4 linked regions of the Oryctolagus cuniculus genome follow. The protein of the gene in region 4 interacts with the protein of the main gene of each other region in a biochemical or structural test. Links are inferred from orthologs where the notes say so. Each region holds a gene or a part of one and is shown on either strand. Other genes may lie near its edges. The genes, in order: PDGFC, PDGFB, PDGFA and PDGFRA.

Region 1 (5,112 bases), about 100 Mb from region 4:
AGAATGGCGATGCTATAGTGGATCACAAAACTGTACCTAGCAACAGGTAAAGGACACTGAAGCTCATTCTGTATCTTCTCTCCCTGTGTTCCAGACTAAATCCATGAATGTACCACTGGCCATGGCAAGGCCATAGCAATCAATTTCCATTTGTAACACCTCTCGGGACACTAAGCTAATATTGAAACAAGAAACAGCAAGTCTGCAGGCCTGACCGAGTAAACTCTGGTGGAGGCTGGGAAACCCTCAAGAAGAGGAGTATCATGGGCCAGGGGTCTTAAAAGCAGGCTCCTCTCAGCACAACAGACACGTGGCCACGTCATGTTTAGTACTTAGAAGAGCTTTCACAAAACGAGCCATCTTCTAGCGAATCCCTCGGGAAAGATTCGTCCTTAGAGAACTGCATAAATGTCAAAACTGACGGAGCAACATGGCAATCAAATCAACCATAACATAATATGAGGGCCAAACATACCCATATAAGGGAATGGAAATTGTGAAGGTCAAAAAAAGAAGTAGCAGTAGTAGCATTTCCAGCAAACTACTGGGAACGACCACAGTCACATTCCATGAGGATCTTCAGCACCCACCTGTTATCCTCAAATCTTGAACCTTGAAGAAACATTGCAATCAACCTGAGCATGTGCAGAAAAATAGCTCTATGTTGCCCCCTAGTGCTGGTCAGTCCCACTGCTCCTTAGGCTACAAACTACAAGGTGAGTGGTTCCTCTACTTCTAGCTACTTCCTGCTGCCAACCCTCCCAAGAGCTAAACATAGCCCAATCCTCTCTCTGCCCACAGATTAGGAAACACCAGGCTATTTTTAGCACCATGCATCTTAGGAATGGAAATGGCCCAGCCTCAGATGGCAAGAGAATGTGTGTGGCCTGGCTTAATGAACTCACCTCTACTGAGGGTGTGAACTTACTGAGTAAAGTGGCCAATGGTTGCACGTGGCCTGAAAGCTCTGGGGCCCATTACAAAGCAAGGCTAGCACGTGGGTCACAAAAGAGAGCCACAAGGAAGGGACAAAGAGACAGGCTGCCACAGAGAGATGCCACAAGGCAGTAGGAGAAATGGTAGGGGACAATAAAAAAAAAAAGGAAAAAAATTATAGAAGCTAGGAATATTGTGCATTATGGTCATTCTAGACAGGCTTGTCTAGCAAGAAGGCATATTTTGAACTGGACGTTTATTTTATAAGAGTTAGAACAAAGGTTGGTCTGATGTGTTTCCTGCCTGGGTACAGCTGGTGCTTGGCTCCTTTGATCACTTTCCCCCAGTGCTCTGCAGCTCCTGTGATTAGAGATGGATCCTGGGCTGCCCTTTGATCAGCAGCTCAAGGGGCCTGCAGGTGCCATGTGCCATCACATTAGCAAGTTGCAAGAAGCAGCCACATTAATATTGACTGATAAAAGTGATGCCATGTCTCGCTGCCGGAGCAACAAACACAAACAATGTCTGTAAACTCCCAGGAACCCTTCTTTTATCTCTTTTCCTACCCTAGTACTTTCTGTGCTGCTTTTATGAAGAGCACTCTCTGGAACTTTGAAATAGCCCCACCATGGGAAGGAAACAGGACCGAGAGGTACAGCACACCCCCTTTTGAGGTTCCAGGTACACCCCTTCTGTTTATTTCTCCTGGTTAGTGCCGTGACAGCCTCCCCGCATTCTGAACAGATGACACACAAAGCAGAAAAACATGCACATTTCTTTTCAAATAACAGTAAGAGCCACCACTTGTAAACAGGGTGTTTAATATTCCAGTTTTAGACAGCCTACATTAACATTGTGGTTTCATGTGCAGTATAAAATTTCTATTTACAAAGTCTACTCAAAAATGACTTCATAATGGCAGATCAAGAGAAAAAGAGTTTAGAAATTGAATGATGTAAATCATATGGGGTTCAGAGGCTAAGCAAATTACACACCCTGGAGCTGCCCCGGCGGTATGAAAGGAGCCTTTCTCCAGCTCCGTGCAATCCCAGCCCAAGGGAACTTGCATCTGAGAGTTTTCTAAACATTTCAGGTACACTTGAAAGCTGAAAGTAATTCTCATTTCCTATGCAGGATTAAGTCGTTTCCAGCACACACAAAATAGCAGTCATTCACTTACACATACAAAAACACACCACCAGAAAGGTAAGACTTCAGAGTACAAAGGCAAGGCACGTTAAAAAAGAGAGAGAGAGAGAAGAAAAGAAAGAAAAAAAGAAAAAGAGAGAAAGAAAAACTTGGGAGCGCAACAGAAGTACTTTTTTAAATCTGCCCTAAAAGGTGCGCATCAAGGTCTCTCGACTGCCGTACCTCCTACCTACTTACTGATTCATTGATGCCTTTCCATCTAAGCCCCCCTCGCACCTCCCACAGCCCCCAAAACCTTGAGTCAAGTCCAACGGGCCAAGACTCATTCATTTCAACTTCGTTTTTAAAGGCAGCTCTCGATCTCGTGCCGTGAGCCGGAGCCGCCACGCGCGTTCCGCCACCGCTCCCGGAAAGGCCCCCTCTCCGGGGCTGCAGGGGCACGCACGCTGCCCCCGCTGCAGCTGGGTGGCAGCCCCAGAAAAGTTGCCAAGCACACGTTAACCCACCTCCCGCGAGCCCGCGCCAAGGGCCGGCCGCGCGAGGCGAGAGGGCACCCTGGCGGGCTGGGGTCCCTCTCGCGCCCGCGCGCGGTGCCCACGTAACGCACACGGCGAGCGCAGGCAAGGCGCACGGTGGGGGGGCCCCGACTCACCGTTCTGCTCCTTGTTGCTGGAGAACTGGAATTTACTACTGAGGTTGGACTCAGCCTGAGTCCCGGGTCTCTGGCCGGCCAGGGCAGATGTCAGCAGGAAAAGCCCGAAGAGGAGCATTTGGCTGAGTGGGGCGAGCGCTCACGCACGGCGGGCACAGGGCAAGCAGCGACTCCCGAGTCTCTCTCACCGCCGCCAGGGGAAGGCTGCACTGGGGTGGAAGCGCCGCGCCTGCTCTGGCAGCAGAGAATCGCAGGGTAGTTTCCACATAATCCCATCCAAAACTTTTTCCTAGAGCCCTCTTCTGTGTCTCCAGTTTTTTGAAAAGGATCAAAGCAAAACCTGGACCTGAACCAGTTTCCCAAGGTTTAAACAAATCCTGAGCTGTGCCGAAGTGGTGGGGGTGGGGGTGAAGGCGAGGGAGGAAAGAGGGGGGTGGGGACGCGGGGGAGCCGGGGGAGCGGCGAGGAGTCACCAGCGAGTCGCTGGGAGCACCTGTCAGTGCGGGGGCCGCGACGCAGGCGACCCCTCCGGGCTCGTGCGGAGCCGGCCTCCCAGCCAAGTCCGCGGCCAGCAGTTTCGGATCGATAACAAAGCTGCCGATCGATGCGGCGCCGCGGGCGCCCCTCTCCCCCGCCCCACCCCCACCCCCGGCGGGGGGAGGGGGAAGACTCCAGGCGAGGGCGCCGCGGCGGGTCCCCACGCGCGCCGCGGCGCCGGAGCGGGGCTGGGGGCTCGGGGTCGAGGCCGCCCCGGGCGCAGGCGGAGGGGAGGCCGCGGGGGGCTCCCGCTCCGCGCGCGGGCGCGCCGCCTGCGCCGGGTCCCGACCGCCGCAGCACGAATCCCGGCACCTGGCTTGAGTGTTTTTTTTTCCAAAGTTCACCTTGTCCGGGCGCGTCCCCGGCTCCTCGAAGCCCTGGGAGGGCGGCTCGGCCGCTCGGGGTCACCGCGGGGGGCTGCGCTCGCTCGCCGCCCCCTCCCCCTACGCCTCGGGCTCGGCGCTAAGCTCGGGGCGCGGCGGGCGCGGCGTCTCCGCACGGCGTGGAGAGGAAAGGCCCGGGCGGCCGGGAGGCTCCGGCTTGTCCCCTCCCCTTCGCTGCCTTCCCCCAGCCGGGCGGCGGGCGGGAGGTGGGGGCCGTGGGCCCGGCGCGGGCGGCGCGAGGCCGAGCCGCTCTCCCGCGGGCGGCCGTGGGGGGCGGGCGCGGGGCGGCAGCCTGCGGGGGGCGCAGCCCGGACCGCGTCCCCCAGCGCCGGCGCGGGCCTCCAGCTGGCGGTCCGACAGGTGCTGGCACGGCCCGGCCCAGGCCGGCGCTAGGGGACCCGGAAGGACCCCCGCTGGGGAATGCCGCAAGGACGCCCCTAACCCCAGAGCAGAAGCAAGACCAGGACCAGGATTGGGGCGAGAACTTCCTGCAACTCGCATTCCACCCCTACTGCCTGGAGCCGCGACGGGTCCTGGTTCATTTCCGAGGGGATCCCCTCTCCCAGAGGGCTTGGCCAGAGTCTCCGCTCTGAAGCCACAAGGGAGATTGAGGTCAAAGACTTCCCTGCAACCTAACAGGTCCCTGAAGCAAGATGAAGACAGTCAAAATGATCGCATGCAGTCAACAAATAGTACCACCGTGCTCACTGTGTGCCCGCTGTGCCACGCACTGCTGCAGGAGCTGGCGCGGTAGCAGCCACAACAGGCAAAAATCCCTGCGCCTGGGAAGCGGGCATGCTGGTCGGACAGCCTTGGATTATGGCCAAGAGGATGTCTAGAACCACCCAGGCCTCAGTGTTTGTCATTCCTAAAATGCAGCCTCTCAGAAAACTAGGCTGTCAGGAACCCCTGGCGGTAGAATTGTTTACCTCTCCAACAAGAGGGGTTAGCACCTAGGTCCGCCTGTTGCACGTGTCCCAGGCAGGTTTCTGGGGTGCGAAAGCTCTTAGGAGGTTGTCTAAAACCAGGTCAGCAGGGCCTATATAGGGGTTCCACGTTTAATGCAGGAGTCCGTGGCGGCTCCTGGGAGGAGCAGAAATCCTTAGGAAAGTGTTGAAGGGACAAGCGCCCCCTTCCCCCAAAATAAAAGAGACACGTTTGGAATAATTTTTAAAAATCAAAATTCAAAAGGAAAAATCATTGTCAAGCAAGTTCAGTGGCAGGCAAGTCAGAATTATCTCCCACCGTGTTGGTGGGCAATTCGGTGCAGACCATGCCAGTTCGGTGGCCAGGGACACTCAGGCTGGGCGAGAGGATCAAGAGAACAGTGTCCCTCAGACCAAGGAGTAGCGTCTGGTGAGAGACATATGCCCACCAGACCAAACTAGGAGCTGAGTCTCTCTCAGCTATGCTGTGAATGCCAAGCCCTCTGATTCCACCTGAGATGGACTGAAG
Region 2 (5,219 bases), on a different chromosome or scaffold from region 4:
CTACAAGCACCCGCCCTCCACCCCTTAGGGAGGGCCTGGCAACTTTGTACCCGCCGGGACCCACAGGCAGACACAGGCAAGGCACTGACTCATGGGCAGACATTCAGTGAGCAACAACTGAACGCTGGGAGCTGGGGCGAGGCCCCTGCTCACCCTGAACTCCAGTCTAGTACTTGGCTGATACACCAGGCAAAGACCAGAGCAAGCAGCAAGCCTGGCGAGCTTCCTGGAGGAGGGGCCCGTGCACAGACACATCTGGACTACAACGATTTGTGTGTCTGCATCACTCAAGGCCGTAGGACATGTCTGAGCAGCAGGCTGGGGTCCCTTCCTCCAGGCAGCACCCCTGCTGTGCACCCCTGAGGCCGAGGACAGATGCTCAGCCGCACGGCATTTTCCCATGGATGTGTTCAAGGCCCACAATGTGGCCTCGTGGTCATCCTGCCGGGCAAGAGCACGGCACGTGGGCTCTGTGGCTGCACTGCTTGGGTTCGAGTCCCGGCCGCGTGACCCCTGCGCTCCCACTCCCCACCAGGAGACAGCAGCCCCCTATCTCACAGGAGCTGTGAGGCCGCCACGGCTCGGTGCTAACAACGGCAGCCACTCTGGTGCCACTTTCAGGTAAGGACGCAGGAGGTCAAGGTCGCTCAGCTGGCTGGTGGACCGGCTTCCGTCTCAAAGTCTTCGAACCCAGTGCTTCGGGAGCTGGCCGCCCATCCTCCCACTCACCTTCCTTGCCCTCCTGCCTCTGTCCGGCCGAGCCACGGGCCTCTCCGAGCCCCACGGCTGGTTTGCTCGTGTGCCTGCAGCAGTGCCTGGCCCCTGGCGAGCGCCGCGAAGCTGCGTTGACAGCCTTGTCCCAGTTCCTGCACGGGACCCCTGCACGCGTGATCTCACGGGAGCCGCCGACCCCTCCACGAGGCGGCCAAACCATTCGTGGACAACGTGTGTCGAGGTGTGGCAAGCTGCACCTGTCGGTTCTCACGTGGGACTCCACCACGCAACCCCAGGGGACCAACACTCCCCGTCCCGCCAAGCGGCCCCTGGCGTCTCCGCCATCCCTCCCATTATATAAGCGTCTCGGATTACACGGGAGGAAATCGGGGTCCTCCCAGGTTAAACAGCCGGCCCAGGACACCTGCTCAGCTAAGTGGCCACTCCAGGCTGGGAACCACCACAGCGACCTGCCCCAGGCTGCGTCTCGGCCACCGTGACACCCGTGTGGCTCCGGGGTGGGTGCCTGCCCTCCTCCGGTCCCAAGAAAGCGGCTCACGAAGAGACAGGCCGTGCACGTGTGAGGCGCTGGCTGCCACCCCAAAGAGGCAATGTTTGGGTACAGATGGCAGACAGAGACAGCAGCAGCAGACAACCTAGAGGTGCCCTGGCGTCACGAGACAGCAGGGCGCAGTGAGCCTGCGGGCCCCGCGGTGGGTGCTGGGCTCGGCGTGTGCGCGTGTGACTCCGTGACTGTGACAGTGTGGCTGCGAAGGCAGGGACATAGCAGCTCCCCAAGCTGGGGGCGGGAGGCGTTAACTGCGTGCATGCTGGTGTGGGCGCATGGGCCCCCCGGCCGGGCACCCCGGGGAGCCGAGGGAGGTGGTACACAGGGTGACAGGAGGCGCGGGATGGCGGTCCCGCGGGATGCTGCAGGCGTGTGGGGGTTTGTGTGACTTTGCAGTTCAACACACTCGGATGCAGCCAACGCTGGCACGGCCGCTCGTGTGCCAGGCAACCAGCTGGGAGGAGGGAACAGAGGCCCAGCCTGCAGCTGAATGGTGCTGGCTGCCGCGGCGTTGGTGTGTTCACCTTGTGGCTGCCTCCTGGCTGGCTGTTTTTTTGCCCTTTCCAGCATTTAATCCTCACAACAAGCCTATCCGCCCCCACCCCCGCCGCCGCCACTTTGAGCACAGGAGGGAAGTGACTGGTCCAAGGTGACCCAGCCTGGGACCCAGGGGAGGGTCTCTGAAGGCAAGCCACAAGCCACGGAGCTGGAGTCCCGTGCGGCCAGCACGCCTGCGCCGCCGGCGTGCCAACCGCTAGTCCTTAGGCGGGGCGGGGGCTTCGACTCCTGGCCCTGGCCCTGGAGACATCCCACCCCCAACAACCACGTGGGTCCCTAACCTGTCCTTGGTGGCCAGCCCGAGGGGCGGGGCGCGTGGGCTCCCCTAGTTCTGTCCGGGGGCCAGAGTCAAGGGCGGAGGGGCTCCCGCTCTCTCGGAGACCCCCGCGAGCCCGGCCGCGCCCCAGGCCCTCCCGAGCTCCCGCCCCCCCTCGCCGCGCTGACTCCCGGCCAGAAGAGGAAAGGCTGTCTCCACCCACCTCTCGCACTCTTCTCCTCTATAAAGGCCGGAACAGCTGAAAGGGTGGCAACTTCTCCTGCAGCCGGGAGCGCCCGCCTGCCTCCCCGCCGCCTCCCCGAGGGCTCCCCTCCGGCCGCCAGCGCCCATCTTTCCCCTCCGAGGTAGAGGGATTTTGCGCCCACACCGGCACACAGGCGCGCAAAAAGGAGAAAAAAAAAAAAGAAAAAAAAAGGGCCCACCTTCCAGCCTCGTTGTAAAGAGAAGCCGGAGCAGCCGCAGCTCGCACGCAGAGGACGCCCGGAGCCGGGAGCAGGCAGCCGGCGGGCACACGGACCGACGGACTCGCGCCGCGTCCACCTGTCGACCGGGCCGCGCCGAGCGCGCAGCGGGCACGCCGCGCGCGCGTTGCCGCCGTGCCCGCCGCCCGGGCCCCGCGCCAGGGCGCACACGCTCCCGCCCCCCCTCCCCCCCTCCCCGCCCCGGCCCGGGCGGGAGTTTGCACCTCTCCCGGCCTGGGTGCTCCGGCCGCCGCTGCAAAGCCAACTTTGGAAAAAGTTTTTTCGGGGAGACTCGGGCTTTGAGGTGCCGGGCCCTGCGCTTTCCGATTTGGGCGACCTCTCCAGAAGATGTTGCAAAAAAGCTAGGCCGGCGGGCAGAGGAAAACGCCTGTAGCCGGCGAGGGAAGACGAACCATCGAGTGCCGCGTTCCTTCTCTAGGAGGTTGGAGTCCCCGGGGCGCCCCCACACGGCTAGACGCCTCGGCTCGGATCGCGACGCAGCCCCCCGGCCGTGGATGCTCGCGCGGGCTCGGGATCCGCCCAGGTAGCGGCCTCGGACCCAGGTCCCGCGCCCAGGTCCTCCCCAGCCCCCCAGCGACGGAGCCCGGGGGCCATGCGGGTGAGCGGCGGCGGCGGCTGCAGCGGCCTGAGCGCCTGATCGCCGCGGACGGGAGCCGAGCCCACCCCCCTCCCCAGCCCCCAACCCTGGCCGCGGGGGCGGCGCGCTCGGTCTACGCGTCCGGGGCCCCGCGGGGCCGGGCCGGGAGTCGGCATGAATCGCTGCTGGGCGCTCTTTCTGTCTCTCTGCTGCTACCTGCGTCTGGCCAGCGCCGAGGTGAGTTGCGACGGCAGCTGCGGCTGGTTCTCTCCATTCATTGCCCCCACCCCCACTCCTGGCCGCCCCTCCCCTCCCTGCAGTGAACTTTGGACCCTAGCAGCAGGGCGAGCCCGCTGACCTCGGAGGGCTGGGGCCGCAGGTCTGGAGGTGCCGGGCTCCAAGGCGAAGGGCGCAAGGGCGGCTTTCTTTCCCACGGGCGTAGACCCTGCGCCTTAGGGCGCCTGGGGAGGGTGTGTGTGGCCGTGCCCCACCCCCACCCCGCCCCACCGCTCAGGTTCCTGCAAGCGAGCCCTCGCCCGCCGAGGGGAGAGGGGTGGGGTGCCGCCGAGGGGTGCGGAAGGCTGCGCGCCCTTCCCAGCCACTTGGGCCTCAGCCTCGCTTCGGCTCGGACCGGCACCCGGCCGGCCCAGGAGGCGCGAGCTAGCGCCCCCCGTGGCGTCCAGCCGCCCCTGGGCGAGGGTTCGGGTCCCGCCCTGGCCCCAGCTCTGGGTCAGGGTGGGCGTCCGCAGGCAGGCGCAGGGCATGCTTGGCCCCAGAGCTCCGTCCCGGCGGAGAGGGTTGTGTCCTGGGTGACGGGGACCGGAGAGACAGACAGACACGAGTAGGTTCGGGGCACTGGGGCGCTGCGGGTAGGGGAAGGACCGGGGACGCTCAAGGAATCCAGCCCCGGGGCGGCGCGTGCCTGAGGCCCCGCCATACCTGCGCCCGCGCCCTGCCAGAGGAAGCACCTCTCTCCCCCGCAGGCAGGGTGCGGAGCGCGCCGCCCGCAGAAGCCTGGCTGCAGGGGAGGGGGTGTACGCACGTCTGCGCGAGCCGCCGGTCGGATCGGCCCCCGCCCCCACCCCCTCCCCCAGGCTCACGTAGCCGTGAGTTGGCAAGTCTGCCCCGAATCCAGGTGGGAAAGGGGGCGGGGCAGGCTGCAGGCTCGAGGTGGAGCGGGAGGGGCGGCGGGCCGCGCGGCGGGCCGGGGTCCCGTCCCGCCTCCGCACCTCGCCGGCTGCGGGGGAGGACCGGCCGCGCGGGCCTCCCGAGAGGCGCAGGGAGGCGGCGGCAGCGGCGGCGAAGGGGTTAAGGCGGAGGGCTCCGAGGCCGCGGCCGGGCCTTGGGCCGCCGCCAGCGCAGGTTGTTTTGACCACGGAGGAGCCGTCTCCTTTTGTTCTCGGGGCTCCTCGAGGGCCGCCGGCCGCCCGCCCGGGGGCCCCGCCCTTCCGCGGCCGCCCCCCGCGGCCCGCACCCGGGAAGGAGGACGCGGGACTCGGCCTGGCCGCCTGCAGGCCCCTCCCGACACCCCCTCCCCGCCTCTCCCGCAGCCCCCCGGGCCGCGGCCAGCTGTTGGGGAGGGGGGCGCCGGCCGGCCCCAGCTGCCGCCTCGCTTCGCCGCGGGACCTGGGGGCTGGGCCCGGTGCCAGGGCGTCCTGGGAACGGCGGCGCCCCGCGGCTGCTCGCCGCAGCCCACCCCGCCCGGCCCCCCGACTCGCTCACTCACCCCACGCATGCACACTCCTGGCCGGAGGCGATGCTGCGCTCCGGCAGGCGGGCGCGCCGAGCGACGGGCACGCACTACCGCGGCCAGGTCGCGCGCCCGCCGCCGCCACGCCCGTGCACACGCGGGCCACACGCGCGCGCACCGCACCCAAAACGCACGCACGGCCCCAGCACACGCGCCCCGAGCACACGTGCGCGCACACCCACGCACGTACACAGGCACGCAAGGCCCTGTGCACCCGGCACCGGGCCCGCCCTGCGCAACAGGTGGGCTCGCCGTGGCCGCCGCCTGCAGCCATCGGTCTCCGCTCCACAGCG
Region 3 (3,895 bases), on a different chromosome or scaffold from region 4:
CGGCCAGGTGGGCAGAGGCACAGCCACGGGCCCTGCAGGCGGGGGTCAGCTCGCCCGGGCCCAGGAGTGGGGCACAGGCTGGGAGGCCACCCTGCCCCTCCCCACGCCCACTCGGCAGACCCAGGCGCTGGGGTGCAGACGGGAGGCCCAGGGGCGACCGCAGAGCCGTGGGAGGAGGCGGGAGGGTCGCAGGCCCGGGGGCAGCAGCTGAGGCCAGTCCAGCCGCGGACCAACCTGCTCTGTGGGCGCCCCGGCTGGCAGGCCCCCCTCACCCACACAGCACAAACAGGTGCGCGGACGGAGCCCTGCACAGGCGCTTGGCTCACTAAAGGAGCGGGGCGGGGCGGGGCGGTCAGGGCTGGTGCGAGCCGGCCTCGGCGGGCGCCGCCGGCGCAGACAGCAGGGCCGGGCGCCGCGTCCCTCCAGTGTCTACATCCGCCGAGGTGCGGGAGCCAGGGACCCAGCCGGCCCCACTCTTCTGTGACGGACGAGGCTCCGAGCGGCACAGGGTCAGATCCTAGGGGTCTCCACGGTCCCGGGCTGCTGCCTGCCTCACCGGACGGCGGCCGCCGCCCGGCAAGCCCACGTGGGGACAGGATCGCCCACGGCCAGGAGACGGAGGGCGCGCTCTGTGCCCCCGGGCAGGCCCCCGCGCCGTCCACCGCTGGCTCCCGGGCCGGGGCTCGCGGTGCGGGCGGGGCGCGGGCGGGCACACAGCAGGCCGGACGCGGGCGGGGAATGGTGCATAGGCGGGTGTAGCACGTTTATTTAATACATCTCGTTAGTCTGCGTCCGACGGAGGGCGCCGTCCCAGCCACAGCAGCCTCGCGTGCCACCGGCGTCGTTACAAACGGAAACGAGAGGAGAGCGAGTAGAAAGGGGGCTGACGACCACTCGATGGTGTAAAAAATCCACTTAAGGCTCTCAGGAGGGGTCTGTGTCGACACACGCGGCTCCCCGGCCCCGCGGCGGCGGCTAAAGCACCTGGGGCCCCGCCCGCGGTCCGTCTGCCCCGCGCTCTGCCGGGAGGCTGCCCGCTGCCCGCGTGGACGCGGTCACTGTCTCTTTGTTCCCCCGAGTGTCCTCGGGCGGTGTTCCACGGAGGAGAACAAAGACGGCACGCTGGCAAGGAAGCACCGTACAGAGCAGGTCAGGAATGTAACACGCCACGCACATCCGTGTCCCAGGAGGCGCCGGGGCCCTCACCTCACATCTGCGGGGAGAGGGAGAGGCGGGCTGAGGGCCGCGGCCGGGAAGTCGCCGACACGGCGGCCGCGGTGCAGCGTCCGGACGCCCATTGCACAGATGGGGGAAACTGAGGCCCAGGAGGGGGTCTTCCGCCCTGCCCCCTACCTTCTTCTTCCAGCCCAGGGCTTGCATGTGATTTCTGGAGCTCTGGCAGCCATCGTGGGCTCTGAGGCAACCCTGAGGATGGACGCCACCAGGCGCGGGCAGGAGGGTCCCTGTGACCAGGCAGAGCCTCGCTGAGCTCTGTGGGGACCCCCTCCTCAACCACACAGCCCAGCGGGTGCAGCACCCACGGCCTGAAGCCCGGGTACCGAGGGGCCTCCGCCCTCAGCCTGAGACCTCCCACAGGGCCACGAGTGGACACTCTTCTCCCGCTGTCCTCGGGGACAGACCCAGGCCGTGCGCCCCGCGGGCCCCGGCCCAGGCAGACACCTGGGTTGCACTGGCCGGCTCCCTCCGGGTCGGGGAAGGGGGTGTCCTGTGGGGAAGCCCTCGCTGGGCGGGGTCGGCCTGTCTCCTCCTAGCCCAGGGCCCGGGGCCGCCGGCCCTGCTCGGCCCCCACGGGTCACCTCTCGCTCGGTCCAGCCTCAGTTTGTTCATCTGTCAAATGGGGTGGGCAGCCTGCCCGCGGCGACCCCCGCACGACCCCCAGAGCTGCCCGAACCCCGCAGCGCCCCGATCATCGGCGAGGAGGAGGAGGAGGAGGAGCAGCAGCAGGAGCAGCAGCGGCGGCACCGGAGCGGGGACACCGCAGCCCAGCGACAGCACAGCCCGACCAGGCCGATTGGCGGGCGCGACCAGAGCCCCGCGGGCGCGGGCGTCCTACCTGCTCGGCCGCCTTAGGTGGGCTTTAACCTCTTTCTTTTCCGTTTTTTACCTGACTCCCTACGCCTTCCTGTTGGCGAGAGGGCGGGCAGGAGAGCGGCCTCAGGGCGCCACGCACGGCCGCCCGCCCGCGCCGCCCGGCCCGCCCGCGCCGCTTACCTGCCTCCTCCTCGCGGTGCTCCGGGCCCGCGCTCGAGGCCGCGCACGCGCACTCCAGGTGCTCCTCCAGCCGCACCTGCACTTCTTTCAACTTGGGCTTCTTTCTGACATACTCCACCTTGGCCACCTGCCCGAGAGAGCGCCGCCACGGCCATGAGCGCCCGCGCGCCGGAAGTGCGTCACGCGGCCCCGCCCCCTGACCCCGGCCACCCGCGGCCCACGTCGAAGCCGGCCGCGCACGCGCACTCCACAGGGAAGCTTCTGGAGCGCCCGCGCGTGCGCATGGCCAACCCGTGACCCGAGAACCCGCCATCAGCCACACGCACACGCTCCGTCATGGGACGCCCTACCCGCCCCACGTGCACACACGTGCCTGGGGGTGGGCGAGGAGCAGCTGTCCCAGGCCCCCAAGGAACCCGAGGCCCGGCCAGGCCCCTTCCCCGGTCACTCGCAGGGGACGCCGACCCCGCAGCCCTGGGCTCCCCGCGACCCTCGGGCAGGGTCAGCCCCCAGAGCCGGGGAGCAGGCCTGGGCAGGCCCCCCGCAGCCGCAGTAATGGTTAACCCGCAGGGCAAAGGGTGCCGCGCGCCCGGCAGGCGTGCGGAGCGGTGTGGGCCGCCCGGGCGAGCACAGAGCCCGGGGATGGGCCCAGGGTGTGTGGGGCGCGGGGCCGGGGGCCGGCACGCAGCTTCACTACGCAGGACTCGGGCGAGAGGCCGGCCCCCGGACCCAGGAGCCGCTGCCTGGACAGGCACCTGCTGCTCGCAGAGGCCGGCCCCAGCCCCCCCCCACCCAGCAAAGGGGCGCACACCTGCGGGGTGGGGGCAGGGCCGCACTCAGCACCAGGCTGCTAGGACAGGCCAAGCCTGGGCCCCCAGGGCTCCTGCAAGCCGGCCCTGCCCCAGCCACCCCCAGCCTCCGTCCATCAGGAAGCCCCCTCACCTCTTCTGGGGGTGCTGACCACAGCCCTGGCAGGGGGACTGGAGGGGGCGACCAGCCCCTGCTGAGCACCTAGGCTCCCTCCTCTCAACCTCCTCTCAACCTGCTGGGGCCGGGGGCGCCGACCTCTGTGTCCACAGGCAGTTAACAGCGGCCTCTCCCGTCCCTCGGCGGGGCGCCCTGGGCTCCCTGGCCCGTCCTCCGCCCATAGAGGGGGGCGGCAGAGGGAGGGGGCTCCCAGGACCGCTGGGCACTGCCACCCGCGGTGCCCTTGGCTGGGGCACCCTCGGGCCGCCCAGTCTGGGAACCTGCTCTCCAGACAGCCCCGTTTATCAAAGGTAAACAAACAGCGATTTACGACTGCACCTGCCGGGCCTCGTGGGATTCCAGCGGCCGTCTGGCCAGGAAGCGGCCGCATTTTTCCCCCAAGAGCAGTCCTGAGAATCTGCTCCAGGAAGGCCGGGTCCCCAAGACAGGCGGCTGGTGCCGGGGACCCCCAGACCCAGGCTGCCCGCTGCGCCCCGACCTCCCCGTCCCTCCCAGCCCTCGGGCGGCCTGCGCCAGTGGCGGCCCCCCACCGCTAACCCTGCCTGCATCCGGCCACCCACACACCAGGGGGAGCGGAGACCCCTGCCCAGGCCCCACCTCCCCAGCTGCAGGAGAGGCAGATGTGCAGCAGGACCAGCAGCCCCGGGCTGGCCTTCCCACAGCAGGCTCCTGCCTC
Region 4 (4,920 bases):
GATTCAATGTTATAGTCCATCCTTCTAAAACTAATCATTTGCTCTAAGTAAATAGCTGTCAGGAAATGAAGCCCCCCCCCTTGGCCTCTTCAAAATAAAAGTTTCCCCGGAGCTCCCTGCGCTCTGAGTCTCTGCATCTCCGCGCGGCGCCCTCGCCTTTTGCTCTTACGCAATCAGGGGGTCCAGTCCCAACCCCCGATTTCGACAACAACTGGGGAGGGGAGGGGGCGGGGAAGCGGGCCAGATGGGGTGGGGGTGGCGTCAGGGGGGAGGTGTCGCCGTTCTGCCGGGAAAGAGGGTTCGTGAGCCTGCAGAGAGCCCCAGCATCACCAGAGCCACTTTGCCTCGCAACCCGGGGTCTGTTTTCTGGCGCTGCAAATAGTTTTGTATTCTCTTTGAAAAGAACAACAGGAACACATAAAACTCCGAGTCCGCGCCCAGAGAGAATATAAATCTGGAGTGAGAGATGTCCCTTTCGTACTAGGCTCCTGGCCCAGCTCGAAACGGGACCCTCGGGAGCGGTCTCCGAGTGGCCGTGCCGTTTTGGGCTGGAGGTCTTTGACGGAAAGTGCGGAGGAGCTGCTAATCCCTTAATGGGATTAGGCAAACTGCCGAGTCGGATGGGAGGATGATGGGTTTTTCAAAGGCTGGGTGGAGTCTGAAGTGGGGTCCAGAGAATGGAGGGTCTGTGTCGTCCGCCGGGGACGGTCTTCCGCAGGGCGACCTTTGCGCCCTCGCAGCCACGTATCTCGTTGCGCCTTTGTTTTGGGGTTATCTGGGCGAGGCCAGGGGCCCGGGGGCTTCGGCCCGGACGTCGGGGCGGTGGTCTAGGCAAGCCCGCGCGCCGCGTGCGTCCGACTCTGCCCGTGCCCCCGGAGTGGCCAGCGGGGCTCCTAAGCCAGCGCCGCCCGACGCGAGGCCCGGGACGGCGCCGGGAAGGGACGATCCTGCGCGCGAGGGAAAGGGGGCGCTGGCGCTCCAGCAACCGGAGCCGGGCGGAGCGGGGCTGCGGAGCCGCGGTGGGGGAGGGGAGCGCGTTCCCTCCCCGGCTCGCCCTCCTCCCCAGCTCTCTCGCCGCGGGCGGGCGGGGGGCGCCAGCCTTTATCCTCCCTGGCGCGCGCGCGCGCGCGCGCGCACTCAAAACGGCTCGGGCGGGCGAGCAGCTCCCCGCACGTCGAGCAGCCCACACCTCAGTGCCCGGGAGGGGCTCGTCGGCAGCGGACAGGCGGGGTTCGCCGAGCGGGGCTTCCAGGGGCGCAGGGTGGCAGGCCGGGGCCTCCGCGCGCCCGCCTCTCGCGCGTCCTCAGCCCGGGTGACTGCACGGCTCGCTCGCTATTACTTCCACATGTTCCTTCAGGAAGCCGTGGCAGGCAGATATATGAACAGCCCGTTGTTCGGAATGCGCACAGGATACCGTAATGCTTGTAGAAAACGAACGGCCGCTAGCTACCCGCCCACCCCCCAGAAAAAGCAACCGGGGGCCTCAGACCCCGGCCTCGCTGGGACGCCCCTCAGGGGCTCGGCGGCAGACGGCGACCTCGCGGGTCGCTCCGGAGCCGCTCGCGGGGACCCCCGAGGGGCGTCCCGGGGCCGCAGCTCCTCGGGAGCCGACAGCGGCGAGAGGGATGCGCCGACGAGCCTTGGCTACCCTCTGGTAGCGATTACCTGCCTAATTTGAACGCTGCCTTTGTTGCGATCATTAACAAACGGCTGCTAAAGGTTTCCATGTGTGACATTCTCCCAGGTTGAAAGGCCCGGGGCGCTGACGGCGCGGCTAGCACCCCGGTGGGGGGCGGCGCAGGGTGGCAAATGGTCGGGGGGCGGCGGAGCCAGATTTCGCCCGCTGCGGACGGACGGAGCAGAGGCCGAAGGGGCTGGCCATCTGCCGCCCCCTGGAAAGCAAAATAAACCCGGTGGCCGGGCGCCGCGGCGGGCGGGAGGTCCCCGCAGCCAGGCGGCGGGGGTGGGGGGTGGAGGGGCGAGGCCAGCGCGCCCCGCCCACGCTCGCAGCCCGGTCCGCACCGCGCCATCCGCCCTGCCCCGGCTCCGGCGCGGCCGGGGTCGCCCTACGCTCCTTCCACGTGGCTCCCTCGACGCCCAGGGCCCTGGGTGGTCTCCGGGCTGCAGCCGGCGGGAAGTGTGGCCTGGCCGGGGCGGGCTGCGGGGTCTTGTCTCCCTGACCAGGGCTGTGGCCGAGGCGAGCCACGGGGGACAGGGCGGGGGTTCACGCCTGCGCCCACCCGTGCGGGGATCGCGACTTTCGACCTCCTGGGCGCTTTTCTGGAGCGTCCATGGAAGAGTTAAGAATGAGGCTGCCCGCGCCAAAGCAGAGCAGGGGCCTGCGTGGGGCCGCGGGCGTTGGCCTTGGCCTGGCGTGTCCGGGCGGGCTGGACGCAAGGTTAACGCGAGGCCCCGTGGAGGAGCCCGGCCTGCAGTGCGGGCCCCGCCAACCTCTTGCAGCGGACCGCCTTGGGCCTTGTAAACAAAAAAACAACTCCGGCCCGGCCCGGCCCCGCCCTGCGCTGCCCGCGGGTCTCTAGCCCTCGGCGCCCAGGACCGCGGGGAGCGCCCGCGGGCCGGGCCTGGGCCTCGGGGGCGTGGCCCGCGGAGGGGGCCTGGGCATCTGCTCCCCACCCCCACCCCGATCCCGTCTTTTCTCCTGGAATTCGCGATGTCCCGTTGCTCTCTGAGACTTCTGAAGCCAGGCCGTTAGTGGGGAAAACCGCATTGAAGCAAACCTGTGAAGTTGTCTTTCCCCACCCCCAGGGACGCCGGCGCGGGGGGATGGGGGGCGGGGCGGGATGGGGGAGGTCTCGGCTCCGGATTTGAAAAGCAAGGGCCGTTTGGTGGTTCGCGGGAGAGCGCGGCGCTGACCGCCCCACTCCCACCCCTGGCCCTCCCGGCTGCAGCTTCCGGAGCCCCCAGCCCCTATGCTCGGGCCCGCCCCCGCAGAGGGGTCCATGGGTTCGGGGTTCACAGGGCCCCGAGGCTTGGCCCGCAAGTGGGGCGTGGGCGACCTGGAGGGCGTTCACCCCGTCTCGGGCGCGCGCGTCGCTCACCTCCAGTTGCCGCGGTAGCCAGGCCCGAGGGTGCAGCGTCTGCCTTGGGCTCCTTGGGGGCCCTCCTTCCAGGGGCGGCTGTGTCAGGGGTCCTCACGCCGCCGCAGGCTGCCCTGGGTGCAAGGCCCCGAGCTTGCGCGGTGGTCCAGCGCGGCTGGGGCGGGCTGCGAGCCCCTCGGAGCGGGCTCTTGGGGACCCCAGCTTCCTGGATTTAGAGATGCGATGGTCCCCCTTCCTCCCAGCGCCTTCTTAGGCCTGGGGTTTGTGTTGCTTTTAATTTGAAAGCCGGCGTGCGGGAGGCGGGGGCAGGGCGATGGGGAGGTCTGCAGTTTATTAGGGGCCTCAGCCGTCCCGTTCTGCAGCACGCAGCTGTGGCTGGGGAGGGAGGAGGGCTGGCTCCGGTGAGGTCAGCCTGCCTCTGGAGAGGGGGCCTTGTGCTCTCGGAGCCCCGCGGTGGAGGGAAAGGAAGAACTGGGCGGAGGGGCGCTGCCGCGCGCAGTCAGGTGGGCCCGGGCCCACTCCACGGAGGTCCTCAGAGAACATCGCAAGCCAGCGAGGCAGGCTCCCGATCACCATCCCAGAGCACTGGGATTTCACGCCGGAAGGACTCACTGAGCGCCGGCTGCCCAGGGCTCTGCAGCGGCGAAGCCTGGGTGAGCGGTCAGTGAACGCCAAGTGGCAGTGCTGGGCTCCAGCGAGGCTGGAGGTGCGCGGTGATGTCACAGCGCACAGGAGAGCGGGCACCAATCGGAGGCCCCTGGAGGCTTCCTGCAGGGGAGGCCGCATCCTGGGGAGCCTAGGAGGGTGACGCTGGGGAGCAGCCTGTGGAGGTGAGCAAGCCCCTGAGGTCAGCGGGAGGCGAGCGAGCGAGCGGCTGGGCAGAGGGGACTTCTGGGAGGCAGGGGGCCTTGTGCTGTGATCAGAGAGAGGAGGGAGTGGGCTGGAGTGAGGGAAGCAGCAGGCACTGCGCTGGCAGGAGATGGGGTCCCTGGTGTGGACAGGGGCTGGTGCTATGTTGAGGAACAACCAAGAACAACACAATCAGGAAACAAAATACTTCTAGCTTGAAGCATTTGAAAAAGCCACTAGGGCAGGTGTTGGGGCACACTGGGTTAAGCCACCACCTACAATGCTGGCACCCATATGGGTGCTGGTTCTAGTCCCAGCTGCTCCACTTCCCATCCAGCGCCCTGCTAACGCGCCTGGGAAGGCAGCAGAAGATGGCCCAAGTATTTGGGCCCCTGCCACCTACATAGGAGACCTGGATGGAGTTCCGGGATCCTGGCTTTGGTCTGATCCAGCCCCAGCTGTTGCAACCATTTGGGGAGTGAACCAGCAGCTGTAAGATCTCTATTTCTCTCTCTCTCTCTCTCTCTCTCTCTCTCTCTCTGCCTCTTTGTAACTACCTTTCAAGTAAATAAATACAAAACAAAGAAGAAAATCCTGGAGAGAATCCGTCGGCAGAGAAGACCCTGAGAATCCGTCTCCAAATAGTCAGCTGCTGTCTGAACCCACACAATGAGAGGTGGTTGAGGTTAGAGAGCTACCTACACTGTGCACTGGAGCCAGGCACACCTGATGGACTTGTGTTTTAGGAGTCATGGTGCAAGCACAGTATTTCGGCAATAAGGTTGTCCAAGCTATGGTCATAGCCACACCTGTACTCCGTGATCGCCCGTGATACCCCCAGGATGCAGGCTCTGGGGGCCCAGCTTTCCACCCACCAGCAGGAGACCCCAGGGTACTCACTCTCAGGGACAGACAAGCAAGGCAGACCCAATGCCGATGACTGCGTGCTGTCCTATTGCCGTGGTTCTGTCTTTCCTTCTCCGTCATAGGGTCTCTCTTTTTCTTTCCCGAG

The links.
Region 1: the proteins of PDGFRA (region 4) and PDGFC form a complex in vitro, tested with the Homo sapiens proteins (2 studies listed by BioGRID and IntAct, with this or other methods). The link is inferred for Oryctolagus cuniculus from reciprocal best matches to the Homo sapiens genes PDGFRA and PDGFC.
Region 2: the proteins of PDGFRA (region 4) and PDGFB form a complex in vitro, tested with the Homo sapiens proteins (3 studies listed by BioGRID). The link is inferred for Oryctolagus cuniculus from reciprocal best matches to the Homo sapiens genes PDGFRA and PDGFB.
Region 3: the proteins of PDGFRA (region 4) and PDGFA form a complex in vitro, tested with the Homo sapiens proteins (2 studies listed by BioGRID). The link is inferred for Oryctolagus cuniculus from reciprocal best matches to the Homo sapiens genes PDGFRA and PDGFA.

The regions. Positions count from the first base shown.
Region 1 is NC_091439.1:7,193,203-7,198,314, reverse strand, and holds the start of PDGFC (platelet-derived growth factor C), read right to left. Parts: upstream 3,341-5,112; 5' UTR 2,856-3,340; coding exon 2,738-2,855; intron 1-2,737. UniProt on the Homo sapiens protein: Growth factor that plays an essential role in the regulation of embryonic development, cell proliferation, cell migration, survival and chemotaxis. Potent mitogen and chemoattractant for cells of mesenchymal origin.
Region 2 is NC_091442.1:115,564,499-115,569,717, reverse strand, and holds the start of PDGFB (platelet-derived growth factor subunit B), read left to right. Parts: upstream 1-1,775; 5' UTR 1,776-3,350; coding exon 3,351-3,413; intron 3,414-3,494; exon of another isoform or gene 3,495-4,017; intron 4,018-5,219. UniProt on the Homo sapiens protein: Growth factor that plays an essential role in the regulation of embryonic development, cell proliferation, cell migration, survival and chemotaxis. Potent mitogen for cells of mesenchymal origin.
Region 3 is NC_091450.1:36,156,958-36,160,852, forward strand, and holds the end of PDGFA (platelet-derived growth factor subunit A), read right to left. Parts: intron 2,360-3,895; coding exon 2,233-2,359; intron 2,144-2,232; coding exon of another isoform or gene 2,088-2,143; exon of another isoform or gene 2,075-2,087; intron 1,464-2,074; coding exon 1,354-1,463; intron 1,214-1,353; coding exon 1,208-1,213; coding exon of another isoform or gene 1,203-1,207; 3' UTR 737-1,202; downstream 1-736.
Region 4 is NC_091439.1:109,931,980-109,936,899, forward strand, and holds the start of PDGFRA (platelet-derived growth factor receptor alpha), read right to left. Parts: upstream 3,176-4,920; 5' UTR 3,060-3,175; intron 145-3,059; exon of another isoform or gene 1-144. UniProt on the Homo sapiens protein: Tyrosine-protein kinase that acts as a cell-surface receptor for PDGFA, PDGFB and PDGFC and plays an essential role in the regulation of embryonic development, cell proliferation, survival and chemotaxis.